6 linked regions of the Kluyveromyces lactis genome follow. The protein of the gene in region 1 purifies or fractionates together with the protein of each later gene. This does not show direct contact. Links are inferred from orthologs where the notes say so. Each region holds a gene or a part of one and is shown in the gene's direction. Other genes may lie near its edges. The genes, in order: CRM1, PAB1, NMD3, NUP159, PWP2 and RPS3.

Evidence for each region.
Region 2: the proteins of CRM1 (region 1) and PAB1 purify together in Saccharomyces cerevisiae (affinity purification with mass spectrometry; 3 studies listed by BioGRID, with this or other methods). This does not show direct contact. The link is inferred for Kluyveromyces lactis from reciprocal best matches to the Saccharomyces cerevisiae genes CRM1 and PAB1.
Region 3: the proteins of CRM1 (region 1) and NMD3 purify together in Saccharomyces cerevisiae (affinity purification with western blotting; 3 studies listed by BioGRID, with this or other methods). This does not show direct contact. The link is inferred for Kluyveromyces lactis from reciprocal best matches to the Saccharomyces cerevisiae genes CRM1 and NMD3.
Region 4: the proteins of CRM1 (region 1) and NUP159 purify together in Saccharomyces cerevisiae (affinity purification with mass spectrometry; 4 studies listed by BioGRID, with this or other methods). This does not show direct contact. The link is inferred for Kluyveromyces lactis from reciprocal best matches to the Saccharomyces cerevisiae genes CRM1 and NUP159.
Region 5: the proteins of CRM1 (region 1) and PWP2 purify together in Saccharomyces cerevisiae (affinity purification with mass spectrometry; 3 studies listed by BioGRID, with this or other methods). This does not show direct contact. The link is inferred for Kluyveromyces lactis from reciprocal best matches to the Saccharomyces cerevisiae genes CRM1 and PWP2.
Region 6: the proteins of CRM1 (region 1) and RPS3 purify together in Saccharomyces cerevisiae (affinity purification with mass spectrometry; 4 studies listed by BioGRID, with this or other methods). This does not show direct contact. The link is inferred for Kluyveromyces lactis from reciprocal best matches to the Saccharomyces cerevisiae genes CRM1 and RPS3.

Annotation. Positions count from the first base shown.
Region 1 is NC_006041.1:1,429,192-1,433,175, reverse strand, and holds the start of CRM1 (exportin CRM1), read left to right. Parts: upstream 1-1,184; coding exon 1,185-3,984. Other genes in the region: calcium channel protein CCH1, read left to right, coding at 1-609. UniProt on the Saccharomyces cerevisiae protein: Receptor for the leucine-rich nuclear export signal (NES).
Region 2 is NC_006039.1:1,552,079-1,555,600, forward strand, and holds PAB1 (polyadenylate-binding protein), read left to right. Parts: upstream 1-1,243; coding exon 1,244-3,022; downstream 3,023-3,522. Other genes in the region: chromatin-remodeling ATPase CHD1, read left to right, coding at 1-389. UniProt on the Saccharomyces cerevisiae protein: Binds the poly(A) tail of mRNA. Appears to be an important mediator of the multiple roles of the poly(A) tail in mRNA biogenesis, stability and translation.
Region 3 is NC_006037.1:459,073-462,314, reverse strand, and holds NMD3 (ribosome-binding protein NMD3), read left to right. Parts: upstream 1-1,197; coding exon 1,198-2,742; downstream 2,743-3,242. Other genes in the region: ATP-dependent RNA helicase DBP8, read left to right, coding at 1-148; NOP19 (Nop19p), read left to right, coding at 349-942; ATG7 (Atg7p), read left to right, coding at 3,064-3,242. UniProt on the Saccharomyces cerevisiae protein: Acts as an adapter for the XPO1/CRM1-mediated export of the 60S ribosomal subunit. Unlikely to play a significant role in nonsense-mediated mRNA decay (NMD).
Region 4 is NC_006042.1:330,428-334,701, reverse strand, and holds the start of NUP159 (FG-nucleoporin NUP159), read left to right. Parts: upstream 1-1,474; coding exon 1,475-4,274. Other genes in the region: porin POR1, read left to right, coding at 13-861. UniProt on the Saccharomyces cerevisiae protein: Functions as a component of the nuclear pore complex (NPC).
Region 5 is NC_006039.1:783,357-787,335, forward strand, and holds PWP2 (snoRNA-binding rRNA-processing protein PWP2), read left to right. Parts: upstream 1-1,179; coding exon 1,180-3,915; downstream 3,916-3,979. Other genes in the region: MPP6 (Mpp6p), read right to left, coding at 1-527. UniProt on the Saccharomyces cerevisiae protein: Required for bud-site selection and cell separation. Also involved in nucleolar processing of pre-18S ribosomal RNA.
Region 6 is NC_006040.1:705,125-707,764, reverse strand, and holds RPS3 (40S ribosomal protein uS3), read left to right. Parts: upstream 1-1,426; coding exon 1,427-2,140; downstream 2,141-2,640. Other genes in the region: SHR3 (Shr3p), read left to right, coding at 2,560-2,640. UniProt on the Saccharomyces cerevisiae protein: Component of the ribosome, a large ribonucleoprotein complex responsible for the synthesis of proteins in the cell.

The DNA of each region.
Region 1 (3,984 bases):
TACATGAAAGTAAACCCAAACGATCCATATGATGTTGAAATTGATCACTTCGGACTCAGCAAAGAACTTTCCTCTATAGACTATCAAAAAGTGAACGCCAGACGACTAGATTATAACAGATTTGTCCATGAAATTCAGCTGGGAAATAAGAGATACAACGCCGTGCAGTTCAATCAGCTGATGGAAACAGTTCCATTGTACACTACATATAACAAGACTGAATGTCTTGGGATCGATGATTATGTGAAAAATTTATACGACATGAACAAAGTTGATAAACTGATCCGGAACGAGAGAAACTACGATACCATGCTAATGGTTGTCGCAAGATGGAAATTTTTACTGAACCGTAGAGGCAAGATACAACTACCTAAAATAATGGTGCCAATATCCTCTTATCCAAACGGATCCACTGAAGATTTCGAGCTTGAGTTTAAGTCACCTGTTTTAAATACCCAGGAATCAGAGTTTATGTGGTCGCCAGGCCGTCGCAACAATCACTGGTTTGAAGAAGATGAAAGTAGCTCAAAAGAAAATACATCTCGAACTCTGATCAAAGACACATCTACCAAACCAGGAACAACCGACTCATCCTCATCATCATCTTAGATCAATGAGTACCTAATCTTAATTTATGTTCCATCATTTGTTACATATATAGACTTGTATACCCACAGAAGAGTACCTTTTTTGATTAACTAAAGGAAAAGATTTCAGATCACGTGTATGTTTGGGCGCCACGCCTAAAGCCATCACAAGGCACGAATTTAGTTACCCTACCATTATTGATTTTTCGAAAGAAGCAGTTTTACTAAAGCCAAAACCTTCAATTGATAGGGTTTGGGGTCTAAAGTAAACAGAATGTTAACATGTATTTGTTAGATAAATTTTAGATCTGGCAGCGTGCTATCGAGTCACTTTTGTTCGTACTAGATTCAACCGTTACTGTTCAGTGCTAAATAAGAAAACTATAGTCCGGTGTATTTTTTTTTCTTTCTTTATTATTTATTTCGGAAATTGCAGCTGTGAATTCGAATCTTGGTGGAATTTATACAGCAGACTAAAGGAACAAGACATTGCATTTAATTAATCAGGGTCTTTTCATAAGAAGGATACTACTGCACTGTACTCATAGGAAAATAGTAAAAAGAGATCCACACACACGTTCTTCTTTCTAAATCAATATGGAGGCTGTTTTAGACTTTTCTCGGGACTTAGACATCCAGCTCCTAGATCAAGTGGTGGATACCTTTTTCAAGGGCTCTGGTGCGTCTCAAAAGGAGGCACAAGAGGTTCTTACTAAATTGAAGGACCATCCAGATGCTTGGCAAAGGGCTGATAAAATCTTGCAGTATTCAAATAATCCGCAAACGAAGTTCATTGGGCTTTCCATTTTGGATAAGTTAATTACGACGAAATGGAAGATGTTACCTCAGGAGCATAGACTTGGAATTCGTAATTTCATCGTTGGAATGATTATTTCAATGTGTCAAGATGATCAGGTTTTCCAAACTCAGAAGAATTTGATTCATAAGTCTGATTTAACCTTGGTTCAAATTCTTAAGCAGGACTGGCCAGAAAACTGGCCAGACTTCATCCCGGAGTTGGTTCTCAGTTCCCAAGCTAGTGTAAACGTATGTGAAAACAACATGGTAATGCTAAAGTTATTAAGTGAGGAAGTCTTTGATTTCTCTGCAGAGCAAATGACGCAAGCTAAAGCACTACATTTAAAACAATCTATGGATCAACAATTTGAACAGATTTTCAATCTATGTTACGAAATTTTGGAAACCGCATCTTCTCCATCCCTTATGGTGGCCACTTTGCAATCTCTTTTGAGATACTTGCATTGGATCCCATACCGTTACATCTACAACACTGATATTTTGCAATTGTTGAGTACGAAATTTTTAGTCTCTGCTGACACCAGAGCTATTACTTTGAAATGTTTGACTGAAGTTTCTCAACTTGATATTCCAGCAAATGACCCAAAGATTGCTTCGTTAACTGTAATGTTTTTCCAAAATGCTTTGCAACAAATTGCTGTTAACGTTATACCGGTGAATGCTGACTTGAAGAACACATATGCTACTGCTAATGGCAACGATCAATCATTTTTGCAAGATTTTGCCATGTTCTTGACTACCTATTTGGCCAGACACCGTTCAATATTAGAAGATGATGAATCCTTGAGGGAACTATTAATTACTGCGCATCAATATTTGATTGAACTTTCGAAGATTGACGAAAGAGAATTGTTCAAAACGACTTTGGACTACTGGAATAATTTGGTTTCGGCCTTGTACCAAGAGGTGCAACAAATCCCTCAAAATCAGAATAACGTCCTATTGAAACTATCTCAAGGATCGAATATGTTCTCAGGGAGCAATGGTGCTCCTCACCCGGAATTCTTGAAAAGGTTCCCGTTAAAGAAACACATTTACGATAACATCTGTTCTCAGTTAAGATGGGTTATAATAGAATCGATGGTTAGACCAGAGGAAGTTCTTATTGTGGAAAACGATGAAGGTGAAATCGTCAGAGAGTTTGTTAAGGAGTCGGACACAATTCAGTTATATAAGTCCGAAAGGGAAGTACTTGTTTACTTGACGCATTTAGATGTTCTTGATACTGAAGACATCATGTTGAATAAATTGGCAAAGCAACTTGATGGCTCTGAATGGTCATGGCACAACATCAACACATTGTGTTGGGCTATTGGTTCTATTTCTGGTACTATGGACGAGGAAACTGAGAAAAAATTTGTCGTTACAATCATTAAAGATCTTTTAGCCTTGACTGATAAAAAGCGCGGTAAGGACAACAAGGCTGTTGTTGCATCGAACATTATGTACGTTGTCGGTCAGTACCCACGTTTCTTAAAAGCTCATTGGAAGTTCTTGAAGACAGTCATTCTAAAACTATTTGAATTTATGCATGAAACCCATGAGGGTGTTCAAGATATGGCCTGTGACACCTTCATCAAGATTGTACAGAGATGTAAACGTCACTTTGTCGTTCAACAGCCAAACGAAAGTGAACCTTTCATCCAGGCAATAATTAGAAACATTCAAGACCACACCTCCGATCTTCAACCTCAGCAAGTACACACATTTTACAAGGCTTGCGGTTTAATTATTTCTGATGAAAGAAACCCAGGAGAAAAACAAAGATTACTAGCAGATTTGATGCAACTCCCTAACATGGCATGGGACGCTATAATTCAGCAATCATCTACTCATCTGGATATTTTGTCGGACCCTGAAACTGTGAAAATCGTTACCAATATTCTAAAGACAAACGTTGCCGTTTGTTCCGCTATGGGTAATGACTTTGCTCCGCAGTTGAGTCGTAACTTCACACCAATGATGTCATTGTGCTCAGCTGTGTCTAGATGTATTTCAACACAAGTAGCCAGCGATGGGATTATTGCTACTAAGACTCCAAAGGTAAGAGGTTTAAGAACAATCAAGAAAGAAATTCTAAAATTAATGGAATTATACATTTCCAGTGCAAAGGATTTAGACTACATCGTAAATGACTTGGCATCAGCACTGTTTGACTCTGTGTTACGGGATTACTACATTACCGTACCAGATGCCCGTGACGCTGAGATTTTAAGTTGTATGACCACACTTGTCAACAAAGTTGGGCCTATGATGATCAGCGGTGTCATTTTGATTTTACAGAGTGTCTTTGAAGCTACATTAGACATGATCAATAAAGATTTCACGGAATATCCGGAACATCGTGTGGAGTTTTATAAATTATTGAGGGCCATCAACTCCAAGTGTTTCGTAGCGATATCTCAACTACCACCACCGGCTTTCAAACTTTTCGTTGATGCCATATGTTGGGCGTTCAAACACAACAACAGAGATGTTGAGGTAAATGGGTTACAAATTGCTTTAGACCTTATTCAAAACGTTGATTCCGCTAGTCCGTCTGAATTCTCTAACGATTTCTACAAGAACTATTACTTCA
Region 2 (3,522 bases), on another chromosome or scaffold:
GTACGCCTGTCGTCGGATCGAAAAAACAGCAGAGGAAAGGTAAAGACATACCGTTGGCACCAAAAGCCGATATCCGTCTTCCTGACAAAGAATACGACAGTATGGACGAAGAAGAGTGTAAGAAAACGATGACAAACGTCCGTAGCTCACTCAAACGTCTAAGATCTGGAGGAGACGGTCTTGAACGTAAGCAATGGGCTAACCTATTGAAGAAGGAATTGAAACGTGTTGGTGACTACATCGAATCGCACAAGAAGGACTCGTCTAAGACCTCTCCAGAAAAATATAAAAGACATTTATGGTCTTTCACTGCATATTACTGGCCAAGAGATGTCCCATCTTCCAAACTCCTGGCGATGTACGACAAAATCAAAGCCTCTGAACATTAATTAGTCAAATGTAACAAAACATAGAGATATATACGCCTATCAATTTACGAAAAAAAAAAAGATATCTAATCAACAACATATTGCTATTAGTTATTATTACCTTCATAAATGACATGAGGCACAAGGGCGCACCAGAAACAGCCGGCTGCTAGTAAAATACCTGGTTTGTTGTGGTGATGCCTCAGATCATTTCGCACGTACCTACCTTTCCTTTTGTGGAAAAGCTTTAAACTCTTTTTCAACTCTTTAAATTTTTCAATGAAAATTTTCACTTTTTGGCTAACTCATCACAACAATTAAGGACTGTTCTCACAGAGATGGATGAATTATATAACGATTTTAAATAAGTTCTTGTGATGTTGTTTCATTTATTTAATTTGTTATAAGTTTTTAGTTATCTTGGTTAGTTTATACTGTTTCGTTTGTTACTTATTTGTATTACCTTTCTGGTTCAGTTATTGTAACATTTTATTTTGTGCAATTTGTTTGTTTAAAAAGACCACGGTCAAAGTCAGCAAACTCTCTAAAGGTATCATCTGTATCCTGTATTTTAATTGTTTTTGGTAAAAGAAAAGAATAAGCGTGGTTTATATCTTTTTAATATTAGTCAAAACATTCCAGTTAGAAGTCTTTTTGAATTCAAGTTAACTAAGGGTTTTTCATTTCCATCCATCGTTAAATCAAAACTTAATAGTTTCATCAAAGGTTCGCAACTGTGTGGGTATTAAACAAAACAATACACTAAAATACACATTAAAAAACCATAAAAAAACATATATTTTAAAAACACATTACAAAACCAACCAACCGCCATCTTTTTCGGTTAAATTTATCTCATCTCATCTCATCTCATAATGTCTGATATTACTGAAAAAACTGCTGAGCAATTGGAAAACTTGCAGATCAACGATGATCAGCAACCAGCTCAATCTGCCAGTGCTCCATCCACTTCTGCTTCTGAAAGCGAAGCTTCTTCTGTTTCTAAGGTTGAAAACAACAACGCTTCATTGTACGTTGGTGAATTGGATCCAAACATTACTGAAGCATTGTTGTACGATGTGTTTTCACCATTGGGTCCAATTTCCTCGATCCGTGTTTGTCGTGATGCCGTCACCAAGGCTTCGTTAGGTTACGCTTACGTTAACTATACTGATTACGAAGCTGGTAAGAAAGCTATTCAAGAATTGAACTATGCTGAAATCAACGGTAGACCATGTAGAATTATGTGGTCCGAACGTGACCCAGCTATCAGAAAGAAGGGTTCTGGTAACATTTTCATCAAGAACTTGCACCCAGCCATTGACAACAAGGCTTTGCATGAAACTTTCTCCACTTTCGGTGAAGTCTTGTCTTGTAAAGTTGCTTTAGATGAGAATGGAAACTCTAGAGGCTTCGGTTTCGTTCATTTCAAGGAAGAATCCGATGCTAAGGATGCTATTGAAGCCGTCAACGGTATGTTGATGAACGGTTTGGAAGTTTACGTTGCCATGCACGTTCCAAAGAAGGACCGTATCTCCAAGTTGGAAGAAGCCAAGGCTAACTTCACCAACATTTACGTCAAGAACATTGACGTTGAAACCACTGACGAAGAGTTCGAACAGTTGTTCTCCCAATACGGTGAAATTGTCTCTGCTGCTTTGGAAAAGGATGCTGAGGGTAAGCCAAAGGGTTTCGGTTTCGTTAACTTTGTTGACCACAACGCCGCTGCCAAGGCCGTTGAAGAGTTGAACGGTAAGGAATTCAAGTCTCAAGCTTTGTACGTTGGCAGAGCTCAAAAGAAGTACGAACGTGCTGAAGAATTGAAGAAACAATACGAACAATACCGTTTGGAAAAATTGGCTAAGTTCCAAGGTGTTAACTTGTTCATCAAGAACTTGGACGATTCCATCGATGACGAAAAATTGAAGGAAGAATTCGCCCCATACGGTACCATCACCTCTGCTAGAGTCATGAGAGACCAAGAGGGTAACTCTAAGGGTTTCGGTTTCGTTTGTTTCTCTTCTCCAGAAGAAGCTACCAAGGCTATGACCGAAAAGAACCAACAAATTGTTGCCGGTAAGCCATTGTACGTTGCCATTGCTCAAAGAAAGGATGTCAGAAGATCCCAATTGGCTCAACAAATTCAAGCCAGAAACCAAATCAGATTCCAACAACAGCAACAACAACAAGCTGCTGCCGCTGCTGCTGGTATGCCAGGCCAATACATGCCACAAATGTTCTATGGTGTTATGGCCCCAAGAGGTTTCCCAGGTCCAAACCCAGGTATGAACGGCCCAATGGGTGCCGGTATTCCAAAGAACGGTATGGTCCCACCACCACAACAATTTGCTGGTAGACCAAACGGTCCAATGTACCAAGGTATGCCACCTCAAAACCAATTCCCAAGACACCAACAACAACACTACATCCAACAACAAAAGCAAAGACAAGCCTTGGGTGAACAATTGTACAAGAAGGTCAGTGCCAAGATTGACGACGAAAACGCCGCTGGTAAGATCACCGGTATGATCTTGGATCTACCACCACAGCAAGTCATCCAATTGTTGGACAACGACGAACAATTTGAACAGCAATTCCAAGAAGCCTTAGCTGCTTACGAAAACTTCAAGAAGGAACAAGAAGCTCAAGCTTAAACTTGATTTTTTGACCTTGATCTTCATCTTGTCCTTTCTATATCTTTCCCCCGAAGAAAAAGAAAAATTAAAAAAAAAAACGAACAGCTAACTATATGAATAGTCTCAGCTTCACGCATTGGAACTGGGTGGTGCTAATTAGCTTACGCATTGTTATAGACCTAAACTAGTCGAAATAAACTACTTTCTGCCACTCTTCTTTTTCTCTCGCTTTTTTTTTTTTTGTTCATCACAGGCTTTCCATTGTTGCCAAAAATGTTGTGCTTTTAATCTTTACCAATAAAAAAAATTACCACGCTCCACATATACCATATTACCACAATCCATCACATCACTCTACCCTTTCTCCATACCGCTAATTCAATCCGGAGGTATGCCCCATTTTTCTCTTCAAATTTTTTCTTACTGATTTTTTCTATCTAACTATTATTGTTACTCTACCCGTTTTATATAATACTAAAGCTCTAATGGGAGGACATTAGTAGTCTTTTTAATGAAGA
Region 3 (3,242 bases), on another chromosome or scaffold:
TACAGCCGTGATTAGGAAGTCGTTAACTAAGGTTACAGCAGCAAAAAGAGAAAGTCTCATGGCCATGGATAAAGAAGGTTTTGGTGAAAGAAGGAAACTCCAAAAGAGAAAGAATGAATCCAAAGAAAAGACTCATAGACGTACATAAACTCACATAGTTGATAGACCTATCCACATATTCCATTTAAAAATCAGTCACGTGAATTCTGATTCTTCCTTAGAGAGTAATCACTGAAAAAAAAATGGTAACTTATTCTTTGAAGCGATGAGATCGAACCAGATGAGATGCATCGGCCGCCATAAAGGTATACTCTTACAATCTAACAAGTAATACAGACTCACCAAGCCATGTCAAGAGCTCAGGAGATAAAAGAAAAGCAAGCACTACTTGCTAAATTTCAAAATGGGTTTAGCAGTTCCACTGCTAAGGTGCTCGGATGGATAGAGGATTCTAAGACGTCATCTAATGATCTAGCAAAGGAGGATAGCAACGAATCAAAGAAGGAATTTTTCCAGTTGCCTGTCATTCAAATAGGAAGCGGTTTATCATTTGAGAACGCGCAAAGTACTGATGATACCGATATACATACCATTGGAGAGTTCATCAAAAGTGATAAGAAGGTCAGCTCTTTAGCCAAAAAGAAAAGAGCTACCAAGGACGTGCAACAGAGAAACAGTATACACAGAGTGAGGAAAGACGACTCCCAGGCTATGGTTTCGTTAAAACATAAGATAAGGAATCAGGAAAGACAGAAGATACGTAACGAGCTTCCGAGAGGCACAAATGTTTCGAAAGACCACAGTAAAAACCAATATTATACCAAATCGACTTCATCGCATTCCGACTCTTCCTCGGATGAAGAAGATATGGAACCTAAAGTACAAAAACATTCCAAGAAACAATTTGGCTTGCTATTTGCTGGAAAGAAATCCAAACGTTGAACGTGTTAATCATTCTTTATAAAGTGTAATTCTCCTGTATATAGACTAGCTTAATATGCATAGATGCATAAATCCAAGGTTCAAAGTCACGTGCAAAATTTCTTTTTCTTGAGGGTTCGCAGTCTCTTTTAAGAAAAATTTTGAGAAAGCTCATCTCATCGCATCTTGTTCTTGCACAGTCTGATAGTGCTTGAAAGCTGATTAATGTCTGCATTATAGGTATTCCAGCAAGGGCAGAAGTATCCACCGAACTCGATGAATTACACTCCGTTAGATCAGAATCACATGCAACATCAGCATGCTACAGTGCTATGTTGCAGTTGTGGTGTGCCTATGGATGGGTCCTCAGGGCTAGTTATGTGTTACGACTGTATTAAGTTGAATGTCGATATTACAGAAGGTATTCCCAGAGAGGCTAATGTTTCTTTCTGTAGAAACTGTGAGAGGTTCTTGCAACCACCAAGCCAATGGATTAGGGCTTCTTTGGAATCTCGTGAACTTTTGGCGTTGTGTTTACGTCGTTTGAAAGGCTTAAACAAAGTTCGATTAGTGGATGCATCATTTATCTGGACCGAACCTCATTCTAGACGTATCCGGGTCAAATTGACCGTTCAAGGTGAAGCTATGGCTAACACTATTATCCAGCAAACATTTGAAGTGGAATATGTGGTGATTGCCATGCAATGTCCGGACTGTGCTAGATCTTATACCACTAATACATGGAGAGCAAACGTCCAAATTAGACAAAAAGTTCCTCATAAGAGAACTTTCTTGTATTTAGAACAGTTGATTTTGAAGCACAATGCCCATGTTGACACCATTTCCATTAGTGAGGCAAAGGATGGTTTAGATTTCTTCTATTCTCAAAAGAACCATGCTGCTAAGATGTTGGATTTCTTAAATGCTGTCGTACCTATCAAATGTAAAAAATCCGAGGAGTTAATCTCTCAAGATATCCATACCGGTTCATCTACTTACAAATTCACTTTTTCCGTGGAAATTGTTCCAATTTGTAGAGATGATTTGGTTGTTTTACCTAAGAAGCTTGCCAAGTCTTTGGGTAACATCAGTCAATTTGTCATCTGTTCCAAGGTTTCTAACTCTCTCCAGTTCCTGGATCCAACCACTCTTCAAACGTGTGATTTGACTGCTCCAATGTACTGGCGTGAACCTTTCAGTGCATTAGCTGAAGTGTCCCAACTAGTTGAATTCATCATATTGGACGTTGAACCTACTGGTCAAGTTAGAAACAAATGGGTATTGGCTGACGTTACTGTCGCTAGATCTTCCGATCTAGGCTCCAATGACCAAGTCTATTACGTTAGAACACATCTTGGTGGTATTATTCATCCTGGTGACAGTGTCATGGGTTACTTTATCGCTAACTCTAACTATAACTCAGAGCTCTTCGATGGTTTAAATATTGATTACGTGCCAGACATCGTTCTAATCAAGAAACTATATCAAAGAAAGACAAAGAAGAACAGAAAATGGAAGTTGAAGAGAATGGCTAAGGAACACAAGGATATCGAAGCTTCTCAAGACTACACTTCAAGACAACAGAAACAAGAAATGGAACGTGCTGAAAGAGATTATGAGATTTTCCTACAAGAATTGGAGGAAGATGAGGAAATGAGACAAACAATCAATCTATATAAGAGCAACAAACCAGCAGAGCACGAAGGCGAGATGGAAGAAGATGAAGATGAAGATGCTCCACAAATTGATATTGATGAACTATTAGATGAGTTGGATGAGATGACTTTAGAAGATCAACAACAAGGTGAAGAAATGCTATAGAATTTGGTTTAGTCTCTTCTTGTTTGGACAATAATTACAATATATATTTACGAGATAGGCAAGTTAGTTGAATTTACTCATCATCTGCATTAGATCAATGATACAATGGCCGTCTTGTATAGTGTACACTAGTGAATATTAATAATTGGCATGTTTCAGGGTAACAATGCTTTCCTGAGTTTAGTTCATTCTTGTAAAAAAGACGTCGATTCGTAATACTACCCTGATACACTATACCCTTAACTGCAGTGCATAGATAAATAAAGTAAACCAAGAAGTACTATTCTTTCTTCATGGAACAAAACCTGAGTACCAGGAAAGATGCTTAACGATCTTAAGTTTTCACCAGCTTTTAAGTCTTTTGTTGATACCTCGTTTTTCCATGAATTATCAAGATTAAAACTTGAAGTGTTCAAGTTAGACTCTGCTGAGAAAGAATTGTTCTCTGCACTAGACCTTGAAAATATCACTTCTAACACTGTTTCACTCTCGCTTAGAGA
Region 4 (4,274 bases), on another chromosome or scaffold:
CAAAGATTTACAATGGCTCCTCCATTCTTTTCTGATATTTCCAAGGACATCAATGGGTTGTTGAACAAGGAATTCTTCCACGCTACCCCAGCTTCTGTTGACGTTAAGACCACTGCTCCAAACGGTGTTGCTTTCACTGTTAAGGGTAAAACTTCTCCAAAAGATGGCTCAATTGCTGCTAACGTTGAAGTTAAGGCCTCTGACAAGTCTACTGGTTTGACTTTCACCCAAGGTTGGAACAACGCCAACACTTTGGACACCAAGATCGAATTGGCTGAATTGACTCCAGGCTTGAAGACTGAATTGATCACTTCTGGTGTTCCAGGTGTCTCTAAGGCTGCTAAGTTGAACGTTAACTTTGTTCAACCTTTGTTTGCTGCTAGAGGTTTCTTCGATTTGTTGAAGGGTCCATCCTTCGTCGGTGACTTGACCTTGGCTCACGAAGGTTTCGTTGGTGGTGCTGAAGTTGGTTATGACATCTCTGCTGGTGCCGTCTCCCGTTACGCTTTGGCTTTGGGTTACAACGCTTCTGGTGCTTATTCCGTTGGTTTGTCCGTCAACAACGCTCAATTGATCACCGCTTCCTTCTTCCAAAAGGTTTCCCCAATCTTGCAAGTCGGTGCTAAGGCTGCTTTGAACCCTCAAGCTGGCTCTAATGTCAACATTGAATTCGCTTCCAAGTACGCTTTGGACGCCGTTTCTCAAGTTAAGGCTAAGGTTGCTGACTCCGGTATCGTCGCCTTGTCCTACCAACAAATATTGAGACCAGGTGTCACTCTAGGTATTGGTGCTTCTTTCGACGCTTTGAAGTTGGCTGAACCAGTCCACAAGTTGGGTTGGTCTCTATCGTTCGCTGCTTAAATGCATACTTAGTAATTTTACACAAGTGTTAAAAAGAAGTGTTACTTTTTTCTAAGTTTATGTTATTTTGCTTTGTCCAATGGATCACCAGCCTAGGTTATCAATTTTGAAATGATTCACATTCAACTAAAGTATCATTCTTCTTGGCGTTCCATTTGATACCGATATATATATATATTGCCTTTCATTTTGTTCGCTTTTTTTTCAGAACAACAATATCCGCTTTGTTTTCATTACAGATATGGCCTCAATTACAATGTTAACGCCTACTTCTTTCGAAGATACTTACCTAACTAAATACGTATTCTTTAATGACCATCTAAAAAATTTTATATCTCAAAACATTCATGTCATAGTAAAGACAATAAAACATGAACACTAACCTCATACTGATTTCCGGATCACGTGATTGATAATTTCCTTCTTTTTGGAACTTTGTTTACTTCAAAGCTATCATCAAAAAGCTTCAAACCTGTACAAGCACTGAACATTGCAACTGATGCCCATTGAAATTCAAGGTTTACAAATTAATAAGCAGCTGAGGTTTATATTAATACACTAACGGATTGAAACTACTACTGTCGGCACAGATAAAAGAACACATACAGAATCAATGACGTCCTCTGTGGTTGATGCGTTGAATGTTGAAACTACTGAGAGCTTGGGATTCAAGTTTTTATTCTCTAAACAAATTGTTCCAGGCTTCAATGAGGATTTGCCATTCTCAAAACTGGCTAATGCTTCCATACATCCGTTGAAAAAATTACTAGCTGTTGCTTCTTCCAAGACTGTGTCTGTATATGATCTGCAATCTGTCCGTGATGAGTCCTTCATCACTCTAAATACGAAAGAGTTCACGGCGAAAGTAGTGGGCGTTTTTTTTGTGGCAGAGAGTTTGGCTACGGTCCTAGAAGATGGTTCAGTATGGGTTACCGAATTGGACCAATTCGCCTGGGAACAATACTGGGACGGTAATGGTGTCAATGAAGTCATTTGTTCTGTAATTTTCCAAGGGAATGTACTTCTTGCGAGTAACGCTAATGTCGTGTTTAAAATATCCTTATCGCAAAAGCATTCTTCCGAACAGTTACATTCAATCACAGGTTGCATCGCAATTGACACTTTGAAACATCAACTTTATGTTTTACACAAAAATGGTTCTATAGCTGTACTGGATGAACAGTTTAACGTCACATCCTCTATTGAAAAGCCATCTCTCGATGAACCTAACGAACCGTTGTCCATAAACGCTTTGTCAGAAAGCAGTTTACTCGTATCGTACGGCGAACCGGTCGATGCCTCGGAAGAAGATATCATGTACGATTTAACCGTATATTTTGTCAATGTCAATACTAAATCTTTTACTCCTTCCATGGATATCGCGCCTCCCTATTCAACAGTCAAAAGAAATCCTTCATACTACTCTCAAACATTGTATCAACTCGCTCAGCAGCTACCACATCTATTCGTTATAGGATCATCGTGTGCATCAGAGCTATCGATTGCCACACCGAACGTGATGTATAAACCGGACCAAGATGCTGCTTGTGCAATTCTTCCAATCAACCCTGAAACAGATAATGATACACAACCCATTGGGATGGCCCTAGATGTATTTTCCAGTGGTACTGTGTATGAGCCTTGTTCCGGAGTAGAGGCTGCTGACAATCTACCGATATTATATGTCCTCACCAATCTTGGGGAACTATTTTGTTGGGCTTTATTCCATCACTCTGCTTTACAAAACTCGAGTTTCACGCTAGAACCAACCAAAACTCAGTATGTACAGTCTTTCGAAATCTTATCTCATAAAATAGAAAGTGGTTCTTCTTCAATGGAAAAGGAAAAAGTTACTTTAATTTCTCCCCAAGACACTAAGAACACAATAACTGAAGTAAGAAAGGTTCCTGAACAATCGTCATTTTTTGAAACTACAAATTCCTTCGCTAAAGGTTTTTCGTTCACTCCGAAGAACATGACGGATAGTACAAATGCTGAGTCTGAGGGCTCTCAAAATCCTTTGCTGTCATCTGGTTCATCTCCTGCATTTGGAAAACCTGCCTTTGGCCAAGCAACATTTGGCCAAGTAACATCTAGCCAAGCAACACCTGGCCAATCAGCATTCGGTCAACCAGCATTCGGTCTACCAACTTTCGGCAAACCTGTATCTAGTCAACCAACGTCTGGACAATCAGCATTCGGTCAACCAGCATTCGGGGAGCCAGCGTTTGGGAAACCGGCATCTAGTCAACCAACATCTGGACAATCAGCAGTCGGTCAACCAGCATTCGGTCAACCAGCATTCGGGGAGCCAGCGTTTGGGAAACCGGCATCTAGTCAACCAACATCTGGACAATCAGCATTCGGCCAAGCAGCATTCGGTCCACCAACTTTCGGTAAACCTGCATCTAGTCAACCAACGTCTGGACAACCAGCATTCGGACAACCAGCATTCGGCCAACCTGTATCTGACCAATCGGCGCCCAGTAAACCAGCGTTTGGCAAACCAACATTTGGAAGTACATCATTTGGTACCCAATCTCAAACTAATACCACTTCACCCTTGTCCGAAGAGGCAGAGACGTCATCTGTCTTTGGAACGCCAAGTTTTGGCTCCACATCTTTCGGAATACAAGGAGCTAATGTTACCTCTCCATTCGGAACCAACACAAAAATTTCATCAGAGTCGTCTTTTGGAAAATCGCTCTTTGGAACTTCTCAGTTTGGCAGCGACAGCGCTGTTACCAACCCTGCACCGAATTCATTCGCTACATCTGCGAAATTGTCTTCACCATTTTCTGCCTTTGCTACAGACCAAAAGACCATAAATCCATTCGAAACTCAGACTTCTGATCCATTCGGCCACTTGAATTCTAAAAAAGAAGACACTAAGTCGTTCAACTTTACTGGTTTCGGTGAATCTATATCAGAAGCTAACCACAGTTTGCCATCCGTCACTCAAGATTCTTTGAATTCGAAAGAAGTCAGCGATTCGACGATCGAAAACGATCAATCTGAAGTGCCTAGTCCAGCTAATGATTCGAGCATTTCAGAAGATCAAGACGATATCGAATCTAACATTGTATCCTCTACCGATGAAAGTGATTCCTTATACGGAGAGGACAGGGAAATATATGATAATGATAGATCTGATATACACATCGAAGCCTCTTCAAAACCTTCTTCAACTGTTTTGAACTCAAACAGTGACATAGAAGAGGATGAAGCTGAGCAAAGCAACGAAGAACAAGCAAAAGTGGAGACCAAAGATGGGCAAGAAGAAGAAGAAGAAGAAGAAGAAGAAGAAGAAGAAGAAGAAGAAGAAGAAGAAGAAGAAGAAGAAGAAGAAGAAGAAGGAGAAGAAGAAGAAGAAAAGGAGGAGGGAGAGGAAGAGGAGAAGGAGCAGCAAGCGC
Region 5 (3,979 bases), on another chromosome or scaffold:
TAATTTCTATTCCTTTTTGACTTCTTCTTATTCCTCTCAGTATTACCATTACCATTGGATTTCTTCTGTTTCTTAGTCTGTGTTTCGGCTTCCCATAGCTTTTCTAAATCTGTCGTCGACACATCGTCCTCGTCCTTTTCTTCAAAACTTCTTTTCTTATCATTAGAACTCCCATCTGAACCGGGCGTAGCTCGTCCGAGTTTATTTCCGAATATTCTTCTTCCTGCATTTACACTAGTCCGTAGTGTGCTTGTGCTGAGATCGTTTGTATCGATCTTCGAATCCTCATCATTCAGTGACTTGATAGCAGAGAAACCTACGTTCTGTACCACTTTTGATTTATTAGCAAGTTTTGTCAAGAGTTTTACATTGTCACCTATCCTCCATTCTGACGAGTCCACCAATTTCTTTATTGTCTCCTCGGTCTGTTTAACTTTGTCTGCTTGTTCCGCATGCTTCATGAACTTCATGTTCATCACTCTATTGGATAACTTGCCTGTGACTTCATGCCGTTTCTGTCCACTCATTGTTACCTTTTCGTCTTAGTGCCCCTATTACCGCTTTCAAATAGGCTTCACTATATCATTGACACTGGAATACATTTTTAATGTATCATTAAAGTCCTAATACAGCTCATCTCATCAATCTTCTGCTGAATGGTTTGATCTTACATATTAGAATTTCATGAAAAGTTTGTTTACGATTGTCCGGAAAATGAAAGATAGCAAGAAGATAGAAATATCCATGGTTAAACCCCGTCGGACGTATTTCAGAATGCAAGGATCTGCACTATAAAAGGAACATTGTACAAAAATAAATGAAATAAAAAGGTCATTGGTAAAAGTATGAAAACAGCTATAATGAAGTACTCATACTAAGTTTCAAGTGCTGACATAAACGACAATCCACCCAAAAACCGACATGTTTCTGTTCTCTCTTTCTTTACTTCCGTGCTAAAGCTGTATATGTTTTCCTTTCTTTTTCATTCAGCATACAGGATTTCGAAAAATTTAAGAGAAAAAATTGAGCGATGAGATGAGATGAGATGAGATGAGTTCAAGCAGGAAGTGCAGACGGATTATCAGTCACTTGTAAGGACTTTGCATTATAATCAGTTGTTCAATTTCAATTAGTTGGAAGGAATCAGGTCAGACGAGCTTTATAAGGGTTTAGTTACGGATGAAGTCTGATTTTAAGTTTTCCAATCTTTTGGGAACTGTTTATAGGCAAGGTAACGTCTTGTTCTCTCAAGATGGTTCCAAGTTACTTTCACCGGTAGGTAATAGGGTGTCGGTATTTGATTTGATCAACAATACTGCTTTTACCTTCGAATATGAACATAGGAAGAACGTTGCCGTTGTAGATATCAACAAGCAAGGTACGTTACTTCTTTCCATTGATGTCGATGGTCGTGGTATCTTGGCGAACTTTAAGACAAGAAACGTATTGCATCATTTCAACTTCAAAGAAAAGGTTTATGACTTGAAGTTTTCACCTGATGGCAAGTTATTTGCGCTGGCTTGTGGGAGATTCTTACAAATATGGAGGACACCCGAGACCACTGAGGATAGACAGTTTGCACCTTTTGTTCGTTATAGAATCCATGCCGGCCACTTTTCTGATATAACTTCCTTGACATGGTCAAAAGATTCAAGATTTATTATATCCACATCCAAGGACCTAACGGCAAGGATATGGTCAGTTAACTCGGAGGAGAAAAATCTTGCATCGACGACTTTTGCAGGACATAGAGATAACGTTATCGGAGCATATTTCAGCGATGACCAGGAAAAGATATACACGGTCAGTAAAGATGGTGCCTTATTCCAATGGGAATACACCAAAAAGCCTGGTGAAGGGGAAGACAATGATGAAGATGAGGAAGATGTAGATTTGTCAAAATATAGTTGGAGAATCACAAAGAAGAATTTTTTCCATGCAAACAGAGCAAAGGTGAAGTGTTCTGCATTCCATGCTGCATCCAACATATTAACAGTCGGTTTCTCAAACGGTGAATTCCGACTCTATGAACTGCCAGAATTCATCATGATTCAACAACTTTCAATGGGTCAAAATGCAGTTAATACGGTTGCCATCAACAGTTCTGGTGAATGGTTGGCTTTCGGTTCTAGTAAACTTGGGCAATTGATAGTGTACGAATGGCAATCAGAGTCATATATTCTAAAACAACAAGGTCATTTCGATACGTTAAATGGATTGTGTTACTCCCCAGATGGATCGAAGATTGTCACAGCAAGTCACGAAGGTAAGATCAAGATTTGGGATGTCGCGTCAGGTTTCTGTTTGGCAACTTTTGATGAACATGCAGGTGGTGTAAGTGCAGTAGAATTTGCTAAAAAAGGTCAAGTTTTGTTTTCAGCTTCTTTGGATGGTACCGTGAAAGCATGGGACTTGATCAGATATCGTAATTTCAGAACGTTCACTGCGACCGAAAGAATACAGTTCAACTCATTAGCAGTTGATCCAAGCGGAGAAGTTGTATGTGCCGGGTCGGAAGATAGCTTTGACATTTTTGTTTGGTCAGTACAGACTGGTCAGTTAGTGGATACACTATCTGGCCATGAAGGTCCTATCTCCTGTTTATCTTTCAGTAATGAGAATGGAGTTTTGGCATCCGCTTCATGGGATAAAACAATTAGAGTGTGGTCTCTCTTCGGTAGAAGTCAACAGGTAGAGCCTTTTGAAGTATTTTCTGATGTTTTATCTATTTCTATGAAACCGGATGGTCAACAAATAGCTGCAAGTACTCTAGCGGGGCAAATATTATTCTTTGATGTTGCTGAGGGCAAACAGGTGGGAAATATTGACGGCAAAAGGGATATAATCTCGGGTAGACATTTGGAAGATCGGTTCACATCAGAAAGTTCAGCAAGATCTAAATATTTTACCACCATTCATTACAGTTTCGATGGTCTCTCTTTGGTTGCAGCCGGTAACAATAATTCCATATGTCTTTATGACATTCCAAACGAAGTACTGCTAAGAAGATTTACCGTATCCAAAAACATGATGTTAAACGGCACCATGGAGTTTTTAAACTCAAGTAGAATGACAGAAGCAGGATCTTTGGATCTCATTGATCAAGATGCAGAAAATTCAGACTTGGAAGATCGCGTAGATAACAGCCTTCCTGGTTCGAATAGAGGAGGTGACTTATCGACAAGAAGAGTCAGACCGGCGATCAGAGTGACGTCTATAAGATTCTCTCCTACTGCTAATGCATTTGCCGCCGGTTCAACAGAAGGTTTACTTGTATATTCCGTTGATAATACTATTCTTTTTGATCCTTTCGATCTTGACGTCGATGTGACTCCACAGAATGTTATCCAAAGCTTAGATGACAAGGAATATCTCAATGCCATACTAATGGCTTTCCGTCTAAATGAGGGCTATCTAATCCACAGAGTATATGAGAATATTCCAATAAAGGATATTCCATTGATAGCTCACGAGTTGCCAGTGGTTTACGTATCAAGAATTCTAAAATTCATTGGTGAGTACGCTTTAGAATCACAGCATTTGGAGTTCAATCTCCTTTGGATCAAATCTGTACTTACAGCCCACGGCAAATACATTTCTACTAATAAGCATCAATTCTCTAGCGCATTGAGAGCTGTCCAAAGATTTATTGGTAGAATGGCAAATGACGTCGTCCAAACATACAAGAGAAATAAGTACACATTAGACTTTTTGACAAATACCGATGGTTCTTCAACTAACGCTGTTGACGAGGATATGAATCTACTGGGCAATGATTCAGACAACGAATCTGAAGACAAAGAGGATATCAACATGGACGACGATTTAGATGGAGGTGAATGGGTTGGATTCGAGGAAAAAACTATTAATCTTCCTGTTAATGACGAAGATTCTGACGACGAAATCCTACTATGAAATCGGGATACTTCACTAAAAAGAGAATATATATAATTCCTAGCATGATAGATATATAAAATCA
Region 6 (2,640 bases), on another chromosome or scaffold:
GCTAATGCAGTCGATATTGGAAACAGCATAACTGGTTAAGCTCGGCTGCATTTTTGACGGTCAGAAGTGGCCACTGGTATAAGTGGGGCCAGTGGGGTCTGTTATTTCCTCATTCAGATAATCGCACACTACGAACGTTGCTGCTGTTTCGGACGCCAGACTAGGCCAAACAGTGTAGACTGTCAATTGAAAACAATCAGAAATGGTCGTCTTACCGATTTCTTAGGTACTGGCTCTAGGAAATGGAGTGAATAGCGCAGTTTTGTGCTTTGTGCGGTAGACGGAATAAACTGTATAGGCAACCAGTAAAAGGATCTACGAGTGAACTAGTAAGTTACAAAGTGGAATTGATTGGCCCATTATAAAGGCTGTGCAGGAGTCCGAACATCTCAGAAAACCATTTACAAAATGAGCTGCCTACCTACATGGTTCTTTCTTTTTATTCACACAAGTTGCACCAATCGATGTGCTTGTTTCGAGTGAGCAAGTAGCTGATTTTCATTTTCTTTTTTTTTTTTTGGCCTTAGGGAAAACTTACTAGGAACATGAAAAGGTAGTTGTTATAATGGATTGTAGTGGGTAGGTAGGTTGAGGCATTTCTGGTACATTCCGTATATTCGAGTGTGCTCGCTGTACCCTCTGCAGGTGTACTGGCTCCCAATATTATTCTTTTTTTTCGTTCAAATTGTGAGAAACAGAGAGAGAGAGAGAAAACGAAACGGCATCCTGTAATTACCCGAAGCAATATTGGGTCATATACCTGCTAAAACCCGGTCAATATTGACGTACTTTCTTTTCGGAATAACAAGTATGCAGCTGTGACACGCCGTGATTGCAACATTGTCTGGAATTCCTATGTTATTTCCCATTTTATTATTCGTTGAAACAATTGTGTTGTCTGTTTCCTAAGTGATGCGAGTTACCACAAGGCTCTCGAGTATTCACATAAACCAATGCAGGGGGTGGAACATCTCGCGTATAAATCCTATTTAGGAACTTCCCCATTAGGAAATGGAGGAACGGTCTTGAAGTTTTCTGTTTACGGCGAGTTTTCTACGCTTACCAGGTGACTTGAAAATATATGTTCCTGGGACTGCTCACCCGGACATTTTTGTTTTAGTTTTTTTTCCAATTTTTTCTGCATTGCCATTTTGGGTACTTATCTCATTGAAAATGTTCATTTATCTGAAGCATTAACCCATACACCACATGTGTTGGTGAGTAAATACTGTCTTTCAGATGATTTTTTCATTTTCACCATACCAATCGCAGCGATTCGGACGGTTTGACGAATATTGTTCTCATCATCGCTTTACAATCTGGTTCATTATGAACATAAGTGCCATTGGACATACAAGATACTTACTTTAGTTAGTTTTATTATCACCTATAATTTCGAGCTCCCCGACGAACAAATAAAGTAAAAATGGTTGCCATTATCTCCAAGAAGAGAAAGCTTGTCGCTGACGGTGTTTTCTACGCCGAATTGAACGAATTCTTCACCAGAGAATTGGCTGAAGAAGGTTACTCTGGTGTCGAAGTCAGAGTTACTCCAACCAAGACCGAAATTATCATCAGAGCTACTAAGGTTCAAGATGTTGTTGGTGAAAATGGTAGAAGAATCAACGAATTGACCTTGTTGATTGAAAAGAGATTCAAGTACAAGCGTGGTACCATTGCTTTATACGCTGAAAGAGTCCATGACCGTGGTTTGTCCGCTGTTGCTCAAGCTGAATCCATGAAGTTCAAATTGTTGAACGGTTTGGCCATCAGAAGAGCTGCTTACGGTGTTGTCAGATACGTTATGGAATCTGGTGCCAAGGGTTGTGAAGTTGTCATCTCCGGTAAGTTGAGAGCTGCTAGAGCCAAGTCCATGAAGTTCGCTGACGGTTTCTTGATCCACTCCGGTCAACCAGTCAACGACTTCATTGAAACCGCTACCAGACACGTTTTGTTGAGACAAGGTGTTTTGGGTATTAAGGTTAAGATCATGAAGGACCCATCTAGAAACACCTCTGGTCCAAAGGCTTTGCCAGATGCTGTTACCATCATCGAACCAAAGGAAGAAGAACCAGTTTTGGAACCTTCTGTCAAGGATTACAGACCAACTGAACCAGTTGAAGCTGCTGAATCTGCTTAAATCAATTGATATCTGTTTGATTCTATATTATTAATTAGTCTATTAAATACCGTTCTTATATGTATAAATATTAAGAAACTCATCAATTCTTTTAAAAATAAGTAATCTATGCCCAGATGACATCGATTAAAACGTCCTGCTTTTATCAATGGATTTTTAAAATGATTTATCGATAGCGCCTTCCGATAATGCCTTTCCGCCTTTCAGTTCCTTTATCTTTCATACTAATCAAAAAAATTCGGTGGGCAAAAATCATGTAAATTATTAAAAAAAAAGAGAATATATAGTGCGTACTGAAAAAACCAATGGCTCAATTATAGATGAATTGTTAACCATTTAATACCACACGTAGGGTCTATACGTTCCATTTTTAAGAGAACGTAGGTATCGCTCACTAAACACATTGACTGAAAGTAAATATGGGCCTAACTTATAAGGATTTTTGTGCTGTAGGTACAGCATTGATCATTGGATCAACTACTTTTTTGATGGGGATCTTC